Linked DNA regions of Danio rerio. The protein of the gene in region 2 interacts with the protein of the main gene of each other region in a biochemical or structural test. Links are inferred from orthologs where the notes say so. Each region holds a gene or a part of one and is shown on either strand. Other genes may lie near its edges.

The links.
Region 1: the proteins of cav1 (region 2) and ptgs2b form a complex in vitro, tested with the Homo sapiens proteins (2 studies listed by BioGRID). The link is inferred for Danio rerio from reciprocal best matches to the Homo sapiens genes CAV1 and PTGS2.

What each region holds. Positions count from the first base shown.
Region 1 is NC_133195.1:37,396,543-37,404,306, forward strand, and holds the start of ptgs2b (prostaglandin G/H synthase 2 precursor), read right to left. Parts: upstream 3,940-7,764; 5' UTR 3,903-3,939; coding exon 3,845-3,902; intron 3,708-3,844; coding exon 3,591-3,707; intron 3,499-3,590; coding exon 3,355-3,498; intron 2,176-3,354; coding exon 2,032-2,175; intron 1,708-2,031; coding exon 1,526-1,707; intron 1,424-1,525; coding exon 1,340-1,423; intron 1,217-1,339; coding exon 970-1,216; intron 380-969; coding exon 93-379; intron 1-92. Other genes in the region: pla2g4ab (cytosolic phospholipase A2), read left to right, coding at 6,343-6,369, 7,256-7,337, 7,744-7,764. UniProt on the Homo sapiens protein: Dual cyclooxygenase and peroxidase in the biosynthesis pathway of prostanoids, a class of C20 oxylipins mainly derived from arachidonate ((5Z,8Z,11Z,14Z)-eicosatetraenoate, AA, C20:4(n-6)), with a particular role in the inflammatory response.
Region 2 is NC_133200.1:19,557,009-19,564,772, forward strand, and holds the start of cav1 (caveolin-1), read left to right. Parts: upstream 1-3,219; 5' UTR 3,220-3,427; coding exon 3,428-3,463; intron 3,464-4,009; exon of another isoform or gene 4,010-4,086; coding exon 4,087-4,254; intron 4,255-7,764. UniProt on the Homo sapiens protein: May act as a scaffolding protein within caveolar membranes. Forms a stable heterooligomeric complex with CAV2 that targets to lipid rafts and drives caveolae formation. Mediates the recruitment of CAVIN proteins (CAVIN1/2/3/4) to the caveolae.

The sequences.
Region 1 (7,764 bases), on a different chromosome or scaffold from region 2:
TTAAACATGGGTGGTTCCACCTTGCAACGGTATCTACAACAGGCTAATCCAAAACAGGGTATATTTTTAATCTTAGAATTATAAACACTTACCCTTCCGGCTATCTGTTTGTTGAAGGACTCAACCAAGCTGTTGACGCCATAATCTGTCAGGATAGAAGTGTTGAAGAGAAACTGCTGATAATTGTAGACTTCATCCTGGATGTGAAAATCATCAGGCATGAGGGGGTGCCAATGGTAAAGTGTGTTGAACTCAGAGGAGATCCTGTTCTGGTATTGGAAACGCTCATTGAAGAGTAGTTCGGGATCAAACTTGAGCTTAAAATAGTATCCACTAAGGTGCTGGACGTAATCTTCGATCACGATCTTAATAGTCTCACCTGTTGATAAGGAAAACAGACCAAACGTTAGCCACTCACTTTACATTTTTAACCATGTTGGGATATTTTTGTTCATTTGTGATGAGAGCCAGAGAGAAATTTGCAGACATTGTTAGCCATTACTGCTCATAATTGAATTTATTGACACTTATTATTTGTAAACAAATCTGCAGACATATGCAGAATGCCTATGAGGTTTTAGTAACTTTAAAAAAATAGTAATATTTATTTTATTTTTTAAGGTTTACAGTGCAAATTCTATAAAAACCACTTGTTTGGTAAATAAAGTTAGTCTCTCATATATTATAAAACTACCCTATAAATTGTTTTGTACATAAACCATATAAAAATTGGTGTATTTTCAATAATATTAATGAAACGAATATAAAAACTGAATAAATCTATATTTACGCACATTTCTATATTGTAAGTAAATATATGCATGTATGTATATATGCATGCATGTATGTATGTATGTATGTATATATATATATACACTCAATAATGGCCAAAAAAATCTGAGGAAATCTGCAGATTCCTTTTGAGCCTACTTGTGCCAATCTAAATGTCCTTTTCTGCAGGACACTCACCAATAAGGATGAGCCTTGAGGTCTGAAACAGCCTCTCATCATCCCAGTCAGGATGCTCCTGCTTTAGTATGTCGCACACTCGGTTATGTTCACGCAGCCAGATGGTGGCGTACATCATAAGTCCGGGAACCAGCCCAAAGGCCTCATGACCCACAGCAAATCGACGAGATTCAGGTACATGAGGAGGGTAATGCATGTCTACTTGAACCTCACTGACTGTTGGAGGGTAAACCTCACCATCCAGAATCTAATTAAAGCAAGAACATGAGTTTAGTCAAATGCAAAACACAAGAGTAAAAAAAAGTGAGTAACAAAGCTATATGAGGATGAGATTTAATGAGATTAATTTTGGGTTAGAGATATTCCATACCTGATATCTCAACTTGCCATCCTTGAAAAGTCTCAACTTGTGTTGTCGATCAAGGTTTTGTCCATATATATGAGCTAAATCAACCTAAAAGACATAAGTAAAGTCAGTGATATACTAAACTTCATGATACAGATAGTCATAAACATGTTTATGGCATATAGAATGTCACATCTATCAAATACGCACCCCATGGTTCAGGGCTGTTGTGAAAGCTGGACCTTTCTTCATGTCAGATTTGAAGAACTGGTGAGTAAAATGTTGGGCGAAGAAAGCGAACATAAGATTGGTGCGTTGAGGATCTGGGATGAACTTCCTCCTAAGAAGCAGTTTCTCTGCCAGCATCTTCACGTCTGGCAGCTCTTTCTTACCTATCAAAACAGGGGAATTCATGAGAAACAGAGCCTACTTCCATCCTCATGTCTGAGTTTATACTCCAACCCAAACATGAAACACTATCTACAGGTACTGTAAGTGCAAAAACTATTTATGCAATCATTTATTCTCTCTACAGTGTCTAAAACTTTTTAGCCTCTATGACTCATTACTGTCACATCTTATCTTTCTTTTAATGAGTTGCTTATCCACACACCCAAGGCTCAAGTGAGCTATTTGTGACCTCAAGCTTCCTGTCCAGTTGTAAATGTGAATGCTAAGAAATGTGAGAAAACAGGTCTGAGGAGAAAGAGGCTCACCTGCGACTCCCATTGGCGTTGGGCAATCACGCGGGACAGGAGGTAATGTGCGAGTATAGTAGGAGAGATTAGAGTAGGCTTCCCAGCTTTTGTAACCATAGTCAGCATTGAATGTAGGAGGACTATCGATCAGATGGGCACGTGCTGGAAAAAAATATTATATTCAGTCATATTTTTAAGTATGCAACATATTTGTAATGTACATTAGACATGATTAAGACATGTTTAGTTAACGCAGGGTGCCCAAACTTTTTCATGTGAAGGACTAAAAACCTAACTTGATTGAGGGTGGTGGGCCGAACGTAAATATATAAAAGTTTTTTAAAGTTGCCACTGGTAATTTCCTAATTTATTTCAAATTTTAAAATAACTAGAAAACATTGCTTCATATTAACTAATGCAGTATATTTTTTACATTTTATAGTGGACTTATTACAGTAAAAAAAACAAAAAAACAATCCAATTTATAACAGTATGCAGTTAAACTAGTCAACCTGCACCTGTTTTTGCCTTGATTTGCTTGCCAATGTCTTCTGCATTATCCGTTGAGTAACAACATTTTGTATTTTATTTGTAAGGTTTCTATGGGCCAACTTTGACCCGCAGGCCCTAGTTTGGACATCTCTTAGTTAAACGGATAGGTAAAAGGATAATTCACCCCAAAATTTTATCTTATTAAATATTTAAAACACACTCAAGTGGTTCCAAACCTTTATGAGTTTCTTTCTTAACACAAAAAAAGATACTTTTAAGAAAGCTGAAGTCTGACATCCACATTCAGAAATAAAAGTACGAGAGCTATCATTGGAGTGGTACCTTTTCAAAAGGTACATATTTGTACTTACAGGGCATATATATGTACTGCAAAGGTATATATTAATACCTTAACATTTCAAGAGGTACACTTTTGCACTTTTTAGGTACTAATATGTACCCTCAAGGTATTAATAAGAACTCTTTAAAGTACAAATATGTACCTTTCGAAAAGGTACCCACCCCAGTGACAGCTCTCGTACCTTTTTTTCTGAGAGTGCATAGAAGGAAAAACAATTAATATTTGTTTTTTCCTTACCAAGGAAAATAACCAATATAGAAGTCATTGGTTCCAGGTTTCAATCCTCTTTTGCATTTAACAAAAGATAAAAAACTCATAAATGTTTGAAACAAGAAAAGAATGAGCAAATGATAACAAAATGTTAATTTATGGCTGAATTATCCTTTAATGATTTAATCATAAAAAATATAATAATATTTTAAATTCTCATTAATAATATGAATTAAAAGACGTTTCTTACAGGAAAAGAGGGACTGCTTTATACTTACATGTCAGCACGTATCGCATTATGCCGTTTCTCAGAAACGACACGTTGTTGATAATATTCCACAAGCTTTTGAAGTGTGTGAGAATGTAATGCACAGTGTTGGGAGAAGGCTTCAGAGAGACTTTCACCCATGTGAGAAACTCGGCTGTGAAAAAATAAAACAGAGTAAAAGTTAGAGCCAAAAGCAGAAATGGGCAGAGAAACTTCCTCTATATGTTTGTGGAGCTTCTCACTTACGTGTTGTGCAGTTTTGACCGTAATATCCAGTCCGTGTACAGTCACATTCATACGCGTCGGAGCCCATTTCCGTACAGACACCTCGATTCTGACAGGGATGGGAGCAACAAGGGTTCGCTGCACCACAAAAATAAATAAATAAGTAAATACATCAGTTTTATAATATGCCAACAACAATGATATAACATATAGTTCATAAAATATAACAGGCTAGATATAAATATGAAAGAAAAACAAGAAATTAGTAGGCTTACCTCCTGTGCAAACCACGAAGCCCAGAAGCAAAAAAATAAATAATACCGAACTTTTCATTCCAGTGGCGTGTTTGATGTCTCGAGTCGTACCTCGCCAGTTCAGAGTATTGAATCAACTTCCGAGTGCGAGAGGAGCCGTTTTATGAGGAGCCGATGACGCAATGACTGAATGAATTGGGACGTGACTCACGCACTGCAAGAGGATACAATGATATAATCGTTTATTTGGTATGGCGTAGGCTACCTGCTCAGTGTCATCATCACAAATCTCGAATACTGCATATACTTTATTTATGCCTTATAACCTTAAAATTGCAACCATTTTGCCATATAGGCTGCTACTGTACTATATCAAAACGGCTTCTAATCAATAGCACAATAATAATAATAATAATAATAATAATAAAATGGTAATAAACAATAACAATATTTTGATACATCATCTGAGTGATCAGATTTTATTGGTCGATATGAGGCTCATTTCCGCAGATTTTTCATATTATTAAAAAATATATTTAAAATATAAGCATTTTTTCAATTCCTGAAATTAAATTTGGATTCATCATTTTTTTAGGGGCACCTCAGAAAATAACTTTAAAAAATAAAAGTCTAATTTAAATCAAAAGAAAATTTAAAATAAAAAAGGTGGGCTAATAACAAAATCTACTATTGCATGATTAATAGACTATAATGCGATTTAATCGTAATTAGACCTATAGATAAACTAATTACATTTACTAAAACAATTATAATAAAAAATACACAGGCCTACAATACAATGAGAAATGCAATTACTAAAAATAAATTTTTAAAACGAAAACAGTAAGCACATTTTGCATTTATTTAACAACGGCATATGCTTTTAAACAACCTTTTCAAATGTATTTATAATTCTTAATCTTGAACATCCTTATGCTGCCACTATTTGTTGATGTTCGTATCGAATGTAATAAAACTGCCACCTTGTGGCAGAAATGAATGATTTTTTGAACTATGATTTTTTCCTCATCAGCTCCGTTACCACTGAAAAATTTAGCATTTTAGCAATTTAGCAAAAATTTGCATGAAATTTAGCCAACTATTCAGTTTTCCCATCACAAAGTCATTCAATTGCATACATTTTTAGTCTTTAAATGTTAATGTTCAATACTTAAAGTTAATAGCAAATTTCCTGTAGATGTACTTTTAATATGCAGCCAATATGAAAAGCAGGATGCATTAAGATATGCGGGACGACTCGAGGATGACACTTCAGGAGAGCAGTTTTAGTGCCTCCTCTTCACTTGAAGATACTGCACTCTCTGCATTGAAGGACTACTACGAATGGTTTTTCTCTATCTTTCTCTGGATTTCTGGCTTGACGTGCACTCCGGCCCAGGGTAAGATAAATATGGATTATTCAGTTTGTTAGTTGTTTTACTGCAGGTAAACGGAGTTCATAACATCCTAATGTCTTGTCGGAATAGCGGTGCTAAACTCAGGGAAACGTCGAATATGCATGCGGGTAGTTAAAAAAAAGCCTAACTTTTCCATTTGACTCAGAATATGCTGTTTAAATGTCTAAAGAAGATCTCTGATCATCTGGGACTTTCAAAGGTAGATTACAAAACTTCGACACAATATCATGATGACTGGCCATTTAACGGGACTGCTGCTGTAACGCGCGCCTGGAACTTGAGCATTTGAGGATTTCTGTTAGTCTACTTTGAGGCATATAATCTGCGAGATAAGTGGTAGTAATTTTTGCGTCACAAAATTTGTACAAATAGTGGCCTACGTCACAAACAATGTATATGCTAAAAAGTGCAAAATATAGGCCTGATGCGTGTTATAGTGCGGAGGTTTCATTTCTCTTCCTCTGTCATCATCACGCACTTTTATTCTGCTGTGAAGTGAACTTGTTCTCGCTCGGTGCTTTTGATCAGGCGACATGACATACTGTTATAAAATGGAACTAATGCATTAGACTATGCATTAATGCAACAAAGTTCAATGCTGACTTTTATGCTAACGTTTTGTTTCTATTGTTATTTGTGTATATGGACAGTTGGGGATGGAAGGTAGGCTTTCACAATTTCTTCAACTGATTGCACACTTCCCATTTCATCTTTCAGTTCATTTGTATGGCCTACCACTGCTCCTTTCTCTCATAGTCTACATGCACTGCTTCAAATATTGTGCATTTGGTTTATTGCAAGGAAATTAAGGTATATTTTAGAATGCTATTTTTGTTCACTACAGTGTGTTATGCTAGGATAAAAGTGTGTAACATAAGTGTAAAATCTTTGTGTAAATAGGGTTGCAGCTTCATTCAAATGAAGAAAACCCATGTCATTTACAAAAGGTTACTTTTATTTTATTAATTATTACTTAACTTTTTTTCTCTCAGTGTGTTTAGCTGTCCAGTAACATCACTAGGACTTCTCTGGGAAGCTCTTTGAAAAGCTCTTGAGTTGGGATTATCAGCCTGTTTTGTCTAATTTAGCAGCGAAGCCACCATGTCAACTGCAGATCATCACATCTTTGTAAGTAGGACTTTGTAAGTGGCTTTCAATATCCAATTAGCCTAAGCCAAAAGATGAGATAGCTTGAAGGCAATATTTTGCTTCCAAAAAATCTGTGTGTACTTATTTCAAGTTTACACCAGGCATATAGATGTTCATCATTGCTGATGTCATGGTCACTTCTTGTCTGATGCACATATAGGCTGGTTGGCCAGTGCTGGCTTATAAGCAGGGCTAGAATCTGCAAACTTTTTTTTGTTGTTGTTGTCATTTTTGCACTGAATTAAAAAAAAAAAAATCTGCTGATTTATGTGGAATGATTCTGAGAGTATAATAGAGTATATTATTAAGTAAACCTATAACAAATGCTTATAAGGTTTAAAACACAAATCCATTTAACTCCCTTTTTAGTAAAACAAAGCTAGTCTCTTGCATAATCTACTACTTCACAAACAATATTGTACACAATTCCTGAACATTTGCATATTACTCAATAATAAAATTATCAAAAAAAACTGCTTAAAATAATTCTTAAACACATTTGATTAAGTAAATAAATAGATGGGCTCAAGAATCTGCAGAAATCTTTTGAGTTTTCTGTGGGTGCAAATTCTGCTTGTGCGTACTTATCAATAAAGTGCTAAATATCACCTATAATTTCATTTTGTATGCCATTTAATGAATTTTACTAATGTGAAGTCTCGGAGATATTCAATGCATCTGGTTAGCTGCCTTAAAATGGTGTTAAAAAGACCCCTTCACACCATCCCACAACAGAGCTGCTTCTGAACTTGCATACTGCCACTTTTCTTTTCCATATATCTATGCTCAGATTTAAAAGTAGAACTGCAGAAATCATTTGTATGTCCATGAATTTTCTTTTTGTGCTCATTGTTTTTATTTTTAGGTTGAACAACAAATCTCACACAAATTCAAAGTGAAGGTTTTACGGGCTGAAAATGTCACCAAAGGAGCTCTCGGAGACCTGTGTGAGTGTTTAATATTTCATTCATAATTAAACGTTAAGTTTTCAGGGTTTTTCCTGCATAGACCATTACGAGGTGGCTACCTCCATCAAATTACATACCACCGTCGATTACAGGCAGACCCTAAGTGATGCTCAAGCACTGCTCATGTATTTAATTACATTTAATGTTAGCCTTACAAATACTATTATGTTTTACTTGATAAAATTAAAAGAATAATGCAAAATGTGTTTTGTTTCAAGCATCAAAATGATCAGGATATCCCCTCAGCCTCATTTGAGCCAGGAAAAACCCTGAGTTATGTAACTGCATGCATGGTATCAAGCTCATAAGGTTTGAGACCAGAGTTGGGCCCTTTCACTAAATAGATCATCAATTTTCTTGGCATACTAACTGAACATGCCTGTAGTGGATACCCCTGACCCATATG
Region 2 (7,764 bases):
GTCCAGTGATGCTCACTGACAGATCTCACATATGGCTTTAATGTTAACAATAGCAAAGCTGATGATTCAGTTGAACCACTGGATATGAAGGTTAATTCTCCAGGGTCCATTTTTAACCTAGAACAAAGAGATGAACACATTCACCTTGATCTGACTATAAGTCATCAGCACATTTAATGATGAGCTATTTTTTATCCACAGGGTGGTGATGCCAGTGATCCAGGGCTGCATGATGACACTGCCCTCCATCCACGTGATCTGGACCAGCTTGATGGACATGTTTATAGGGCCTTTCTTCTTCAGCATTGGACGGTGCTTGTCCTCCATCAACATCAAGACTGAGCAAATCTAACTCCGCATAGAAGTATTGCAGAATCTTTCTGTCACACTCTTTTGCCCTCCCTTTTGAGAGTTACTAGCTGAAGGAACGTTTATCCTTGACTTCTGAAGCACAGAGAAGAGAAAGAACTTGTCTCTCATTCCGTTGTAGCTATTGACATGTCAACTTTGTTATGGGTGGCACCTATGCAGACATGCTTTTTTCAGTACTGTTATGTAAGTCTAATTAAGCTTTTATGTTATATATAATGCAATACTTTTAATGTAATGTTTGAGATTTATTCTTTAAGGATGATATATTGTGCTACTGCATGATAAATGTTATTAAAATAAGCGCATGGTGTGCTGGTAAGGAAAAAAAATATGCAACTACTTCCGATAGGGCTGTAGGTTTTTTAAGCGTTTTATTTATATTGTTTGGAGTTAGGGTACGTTTATATAACTTTGTACTTTAAAAATGGAAAGGATCACATACAGACAACATCATTGTCAAAAACAATCACGCTCACAAAAATGAATTAATTGGCAGCATTATGGATGCCTGGCCAGTAGGTGTCACTTTGTAAAGAAACAATGTGTATTGGCACGCATACAGTGCTCTTGTCTGCTATTGTTATTTTGGTTGTTCAGCACTAATACGTGTACAGACTGAACATAAAAATACACATAATGCATGACATTCTCTTCACAAATAAACATTTTTGAAATTGACACTTTAAGAGCTGTAGTAGTAGTAGAATTTTGAAACCCGTTTCTAGGTAAACTGCTCAAAAATGTCCATTTTTAGTTCTGTAAACGTACCCTTAAAAGATTTGATGGCATTCCAGTGTGAGCTATTTATGATTTTTAGGTACATTCCTTGTTTTCTTCTCTATTAATGACATCTTTTGAAATTATAAAACAGCAAATGATGATTAGTTTGACTAGCAAAGCCACATTTGACATGCTGTTTGCCATCGATTGTGCTTTGTTAGTGGCTCCACAGAGTAAATGGAATATTTGACTGCAATGGAACATTAGAAGCTCAGGTGCCGTTTCCTTAGCCCTGTTGAGTGATGTCATGTAGCAAACATGCTGAACACAGCTCAGCTTATGAAAGACAGAACTAAATGCCTCACAGTTCACCAAATAAAATAATTTTTGGAAGTTGAAGGACTTTGTTTTCTTTGCTGAGAGACTGTGCAGATCAATGCTTGGCATATGGAATGTTAACCTGACAAGGTTTTACATATTGTGCAATTAGATAAACCCTTCAGGTGACTCGCTGAACACGGAAAAAATGCCTGAGGAAAACAGCGTAACAAACTGTATGTATTTAGTCTATTTGAGTGTTCTTTTGAGTGCTTAACAGCTGGGTTTTTAAGAAATCATTCTGCATTCTGATTTTGTATAATAAAATGTTTACTATGAGCTACAAATAGATGAACCTTGCAATTAATGTAAAGTTATATAATATAGAATCAAATCTATCATATAATAAGAGTGCTGCTGGAGTTTTTACCTACAGCAACCTTTGGCCACTATCACTGGCGACGTTGTTTGCATATTTTGCATTGCCTGTCACAACCCTCGCTTTGCCAGCATCTGACCTAGAAATACAAACATTTGTTAGGTGTAATAAATGCCTCCTAAAAAGATGTATAGGTAAGTCAAGCAAATGATACGTAAGTAAGGCAAATATGAGAAAAACAAGAACCTGCAGCTTCAGTGTTGTTCAAAACATTCCAAACTGAAGTGCAAGTCTTGCCTCGAGGAACCTTTTAATATGCAAACAGACCTCAGTGTAGTTACCTTTTAGGTTTATACATCCGAAGTGCAAAAAGTTCAATAGTAAAACATATTTTAATGGATATTCTGAATTGGAAAATCTGACATTGAGTGTCAGTAGTGCTTCATACATTTAAAGGTTTAATTTTAATATGCACCACAATTTTTTGTAACAAAATTAAATAGACTGCTTTGTAAACTACATCTGTCCTTATGTACAGTAACTGCCCACTTGTTGAGGTAAATAACTATATGTTAATGTTTGTATTTCCTTTTGTTTTTAGTTTTTCAGTTATTATTTCAATTTTTGTGTTACATTGTCATGTTCTGTTGAACTTTTTCTTGTTCTGTAGGAACAATACAACATAGAAAACACAATCAACCTATACCTATGTTATGTGAATATGACAGTCAATAAGGGCAAATGAAGCTACCATCAGTCGACTTTTGGCACAGATCAAACTTCAATAGTAGGGTGACTATGTCTGACTAGGTTACTTTGGTTAAAAATAGTTTGATTTGCTTTATATATATATATATATATATATATATATATATATATATATATATATATATATATATATATATATATATATATATATATATATATATATATATATATATATATTGTCTCTAAACAACCTTCAAACATTGTAAAAATGCAGGGTTCCACACAATTCGTTCATGTTGTCCCAACACAAATTGATTAAATTAACTTAACACTTTTAACAGATTTATGTGGATTGAACAAAAAAAAAAAAACGTTGTCCCAATGAAATCTCAAGAATTGTGTTGTTTCCACTCATTTTAAATAAGTAGTTTAAACGAGCAAAAAAAAAAAATGAAGTGTAATGCTTAGGGTTGCTTTATTTTGATTAGCATTACTGTAACACAATTTTAAAACTGCTAATGAAAAAAAGAGTGCATGTTCCTGTTAGCATACATGGCAATCGTGCAGGAAAAGTTGGTCTAATGCCCAGATGTGCCTCCCATTTGGGAAAAAATCACGTCAAAATCCCCAACCACTAATGCTGCGTAGCTGTGTGATTGGCAGGCTAATGGAGGGTTCCTCATTCATTCAACACACAAACTCAGTGACTGGGAGAAACTCCCACTCTGTGCCGTGAGAGTCTTCAAGAGAGATAAACTAGCTTTCAGATAAAAGCTTGATGGGACTTTAGCATGCAGAAGAGAGGGCTGTTTTAAGGGAAAAAAAACTCCCCACAGAAAGCAATATCCCCACGCCTCCCACACTGCTTCCTCTGTACTGATTGTCTTGTTTCCTCACACTCATCTGATCGCACTTCAGGCACGGGACAGCATGACTAGCGGATACAAGGACGGGACACCTGAAGAGGTAAGAAGAACACCCCTATTTTACCTCAGAAATCTTTTACTTTTGATGACAATTAATTTTATACAGAGCAAAATTTAATTTAGTTACTTATTTGCAAACCTTTTGTATGGTTTATCAACAAACGGAGGCAGTGTTGACACTTGCTACATTATTGGCAGATTTGAAGTCTTATCTTTTCCTGGCACGTATTTGTACTGCAAGCCTCCCTTTCGCAACACTTTCACAAACACAGCTGAATAAAATAATACTAGGCTATGAAAATATGAACTGCTCATTAATCCAGGTGAAATAGAAGTACTTTATCAATACACATATTTATAAAGGGAAACTGCGTCTAAACAATTTTGTTACAGTAATATAATTTAAGCACGAACTAAAAACAAGATTTTTCAGCAGTGAGCGCATTTTCATATTTTCTGCTGCGGAATAAAAAGGGAGCACAACAGGCGCATAATGTAAAATGGCGCCTCCGTGTGGCGGGATGCGCCACTGTGTTCCAGAGGGGTGTGGTGCTTCATTTCTATCCGCTTAAAACCATCCCATGCCAGGGCTGTGCTGAGTTGCGCCCGAGTCTCCCACTCCACGCTCATGAACTTCATTTTCTGTTTTCTTTGGAACCGCAGGAATACGCTCACTCGCCGTTTATCAGGAAACAGGGGAACATTTACAAACCAAACAATAAAGAAATGGATAACGACAGCATCAACGAAAAGACACTTCAGGATGTCCACACCAAGGAGATTGACCTGGTCAACCGAGACCCAAAGCATTTAAATGACGATGTGGTGAAGGTAGGACAAACTTTGTCTGGTTCATGCAACTTTTTTAATTGTTGGGTATTCAATTTAAATTTAAAATATAAATAATGAGGACATTTGTTTAACTGCATGGAAACGTTAATAAGAATCTCACAGGTTATTGTTTAGTATATGTGATATTCATAACTGCATACTTGATATTAGCAAATATAATTTGTATGGACAGATAAAAGCAAATCCTTCATTGTTATATTTAATTTATAATTCAGAAAAGTCTTTAAAGTGCATTGCAGTTTATACACACTGCTAAGTAAGACCATTTTATCCCAATAGTTTCCCATTATAACACAATAGAAAGTTGGCTTCATAACAAAAGTGGTGAGTCAGTGGTCAGTTTGTCAAGGTGGCACTGGAAACGATTAATTTTGAATGTAGAAACAATGATGGCTTCAAGTACTTGGGAATTATAATGTACAATTTTACTTGCAAAATTGCTTTACAGCTGGTATTAAAATGCATTTTTGTTACTATTATAAACTATTCAATGATGTTCAAAACTATTTGAGCTTATGCACTTTCAGCCATTAAAATGGGATTGCATTAAAATACATTTTTCATTTAAGTAGATTATTCCTCTCTTTTCACTAATCAAACATTTGATCAATGTACTTTGTAGTGGAAATGCAATTTAAACTTTGCCACCCAAAATAGTAAGTTTGGTTTGAAATGTAAATAAAAAAGCACAATGTACTGAACTGTGAGCACAATGCACAGGTTCATTGGAAATAAAATCTCTCATTGTTTTTAGAGAAGTGCTCACAGCTGATTGCTGGTAGAAGAGCACTGGAATTTTCAGATGCACCAAAACGCTTTAATGGACAAATAAAATTATGCAAAGATCTACAAAAAACATAACAAGATAATTAACTCTTTATTAAATGTTAGAAAAAGGTGTTCATTTAGGTTCAGTGCAGCAAAATGGGTTTATACCGGAAGGTACGATTTGTAGTTTTTACGTAGCCAGAATCACATATTTCCATTGAGCCTGGCTTGCAAATCCACTGAGCTTGGCATAGTTTTGTGGAGCAGAAACGAACGTCTTGTATGTGTCTTCCTCATACTGTATATCAATTGTGCAAGTGTATTTCACAATATTGGTTTGAAAGTTCTGAAGTGCATAAATACACAAGCCTCTCAAAGAAATGTGGCCAAAAGAGACAGATTAGAATGGCTGGTATATATGTGATGAGGTCTGCTTCAATCAAGCAAAACATTATTAAACATAACTTTATCTACTTCAATCAAGCAAAACATAGTATTACCAAGTGTAAACATGGCCTTACAGTAAAACACACTTTCAAGCTTCCTTAGGGGTGATTCATACAGAACACATCGTTGCATCCAAAGATGCTTGCCATGCCTTTCCGTTATTCTGATTGGTCCGCTGCTTTGGAACTGACATTAAAGAATGGTGCAACTTGTAAAAATTGCATTACAGAAACATAATGGTCATGCAAGTCTGTAAAGTCCTTTAACATAAAAAAACAATGTAAAAGTAATGCACTGAGATGGAAAAGCACATTCTGTGTGAATGGCCCCTTAGGTGTTTTGGTTTGTAGACCACATTACTTGACCAACCAGTTCCCAGCCTGAACAGATTCACACAAAAATGAAAATTTGCTCACCATTTACTCACCTTCAAGTGTTTCCACATTTTTAGTTGACTTTTTAGTTGAACACAAAATAAAATACACTCGAAAATGATGTTTGTTGTTTGGACAAACACTTATTTAAAATGAGCTGAGCTTAAGTTTTTATTGGGACAACTTAATTCTTTTATGTTCCATCCACTTATATTTGTAAAAAGTAATATGTTAACTCAATCCTTTTATGTTGTTCCAATACAAATCTATTGTGTGGTACCTAGCATTATTATACAGTGTATTTTGTAGAATGCTGGAAACTGGTGACACCCATAGAAAAACAAAACAAAAAAAACATTATGGAAGTCACTGACGACCAGTCCTGACATTCTTCAAAATAACTTCTTTTGTGTTCAACAGAAACATGAAACTCAAAGAGGTTTGGTACAGAAGGCAGAGCAAATGATAGAATTTCCACTTTGAGTGAACTCTCCCTTTAAGTTGTATATTCCAACAGGGTGGAAACAATTATCAACAGGGTACCAAAGTGAAATACTTCGATTGTGGCATGTGTTTGTGAAAATTGTGCATACAATAATAGCACAGTGCTCTCATTTTTACAGGCTTGTTGCTGTAGGAACTCCCATGCAGCAATAAGCTGTCAAACCAACCTTCTTTAAAAAGGAAATATTAACAGTTTCCTGTTTTTGAGCACCTAACATTCTGGGCGTGGGGCGATTCCTTTCATAACAAAAAAAAGGTCACTTGATGATTTGCTTTATAGCTTTTTTAAACGATCCTCTTCATTCATCTCAACCCTTATTTGTTTTCACTTATTCATCGTCTTTTCCCCTCCCACCACAACATGACACTGAGTCACATCCCCGAGGACACATGCATTTGAATGCTTTTTATGATTTGACTGAAAATTGAATCCAGAGAACGCTAAAAGCAATTGTTCTGTTCATGCTTAGAATTATGGGATTGGTGTCACAAGTCGAACTCATTTTGTGCACGCAGTCCTTTGATTTTGTCCTTAAAAGGGGTTGAGTGCTCGCAGTGGTCTTGCGTAGGAGAGGGAATTCCCATCTCCGTTTTACACAAATTCTCCATACATACGTGCAGATGGGGCATTTTTCTGGTCCGTGATGCACTCGCGGTCCAAGTTCACTCCCACTGACATCCACATCAAAGATTCTTGTGTGCACAAACACATGCGTAGCTTTCCCTTGGAACGGAATATTTTCCTCTCATAAAACTGCATTCTTTTAATAGCTCATCCACGTGGGATTTTTGGCCAGAGAGCAGTCTTAGGCCGGGCCACTTAGATGGTCATCATCACTGTTAGACTTGTAATAATAGAGTATGTACAGTAGTTTTTTTGCTGAAGTACTATAATTCCTGGCTGATAGGAGAAAACTTCTAGAACTCATAGAGTTGTAGTTACTTGGTGGGTTTTTTAGTCACCGCATATGAATTACAATTCCGAATGAGTCACAGGCTGTTGCCATGGCGATTGAGGATTTGGAACAAAATAAACATGGCGGATATGATTGTTTTTAATATAAAACTGTTGTTAGTGTTTAAGAGTTCCATTGTTTTTGTGCAGCTTTTGTTCATCCAAGAAAACATTGTTTTCATATTGCATATTGTGTTTTTTGGAGGGTGACTTAGAGTATTTAGATTCAATTTGAAAAGTAATATATATATATATATATATATATATATATATATATATATATATATATATATATATATATATATATATATATATATATATATCATTATTTACACATTTAACTTCAATTTATCTGCATTATTAAACGTCAAATAAGCTATTTTAAATATGTCTACAATGTAAAAAATGCTGGTTGCCTTAAAATTTTAAGCTGAATCAAAT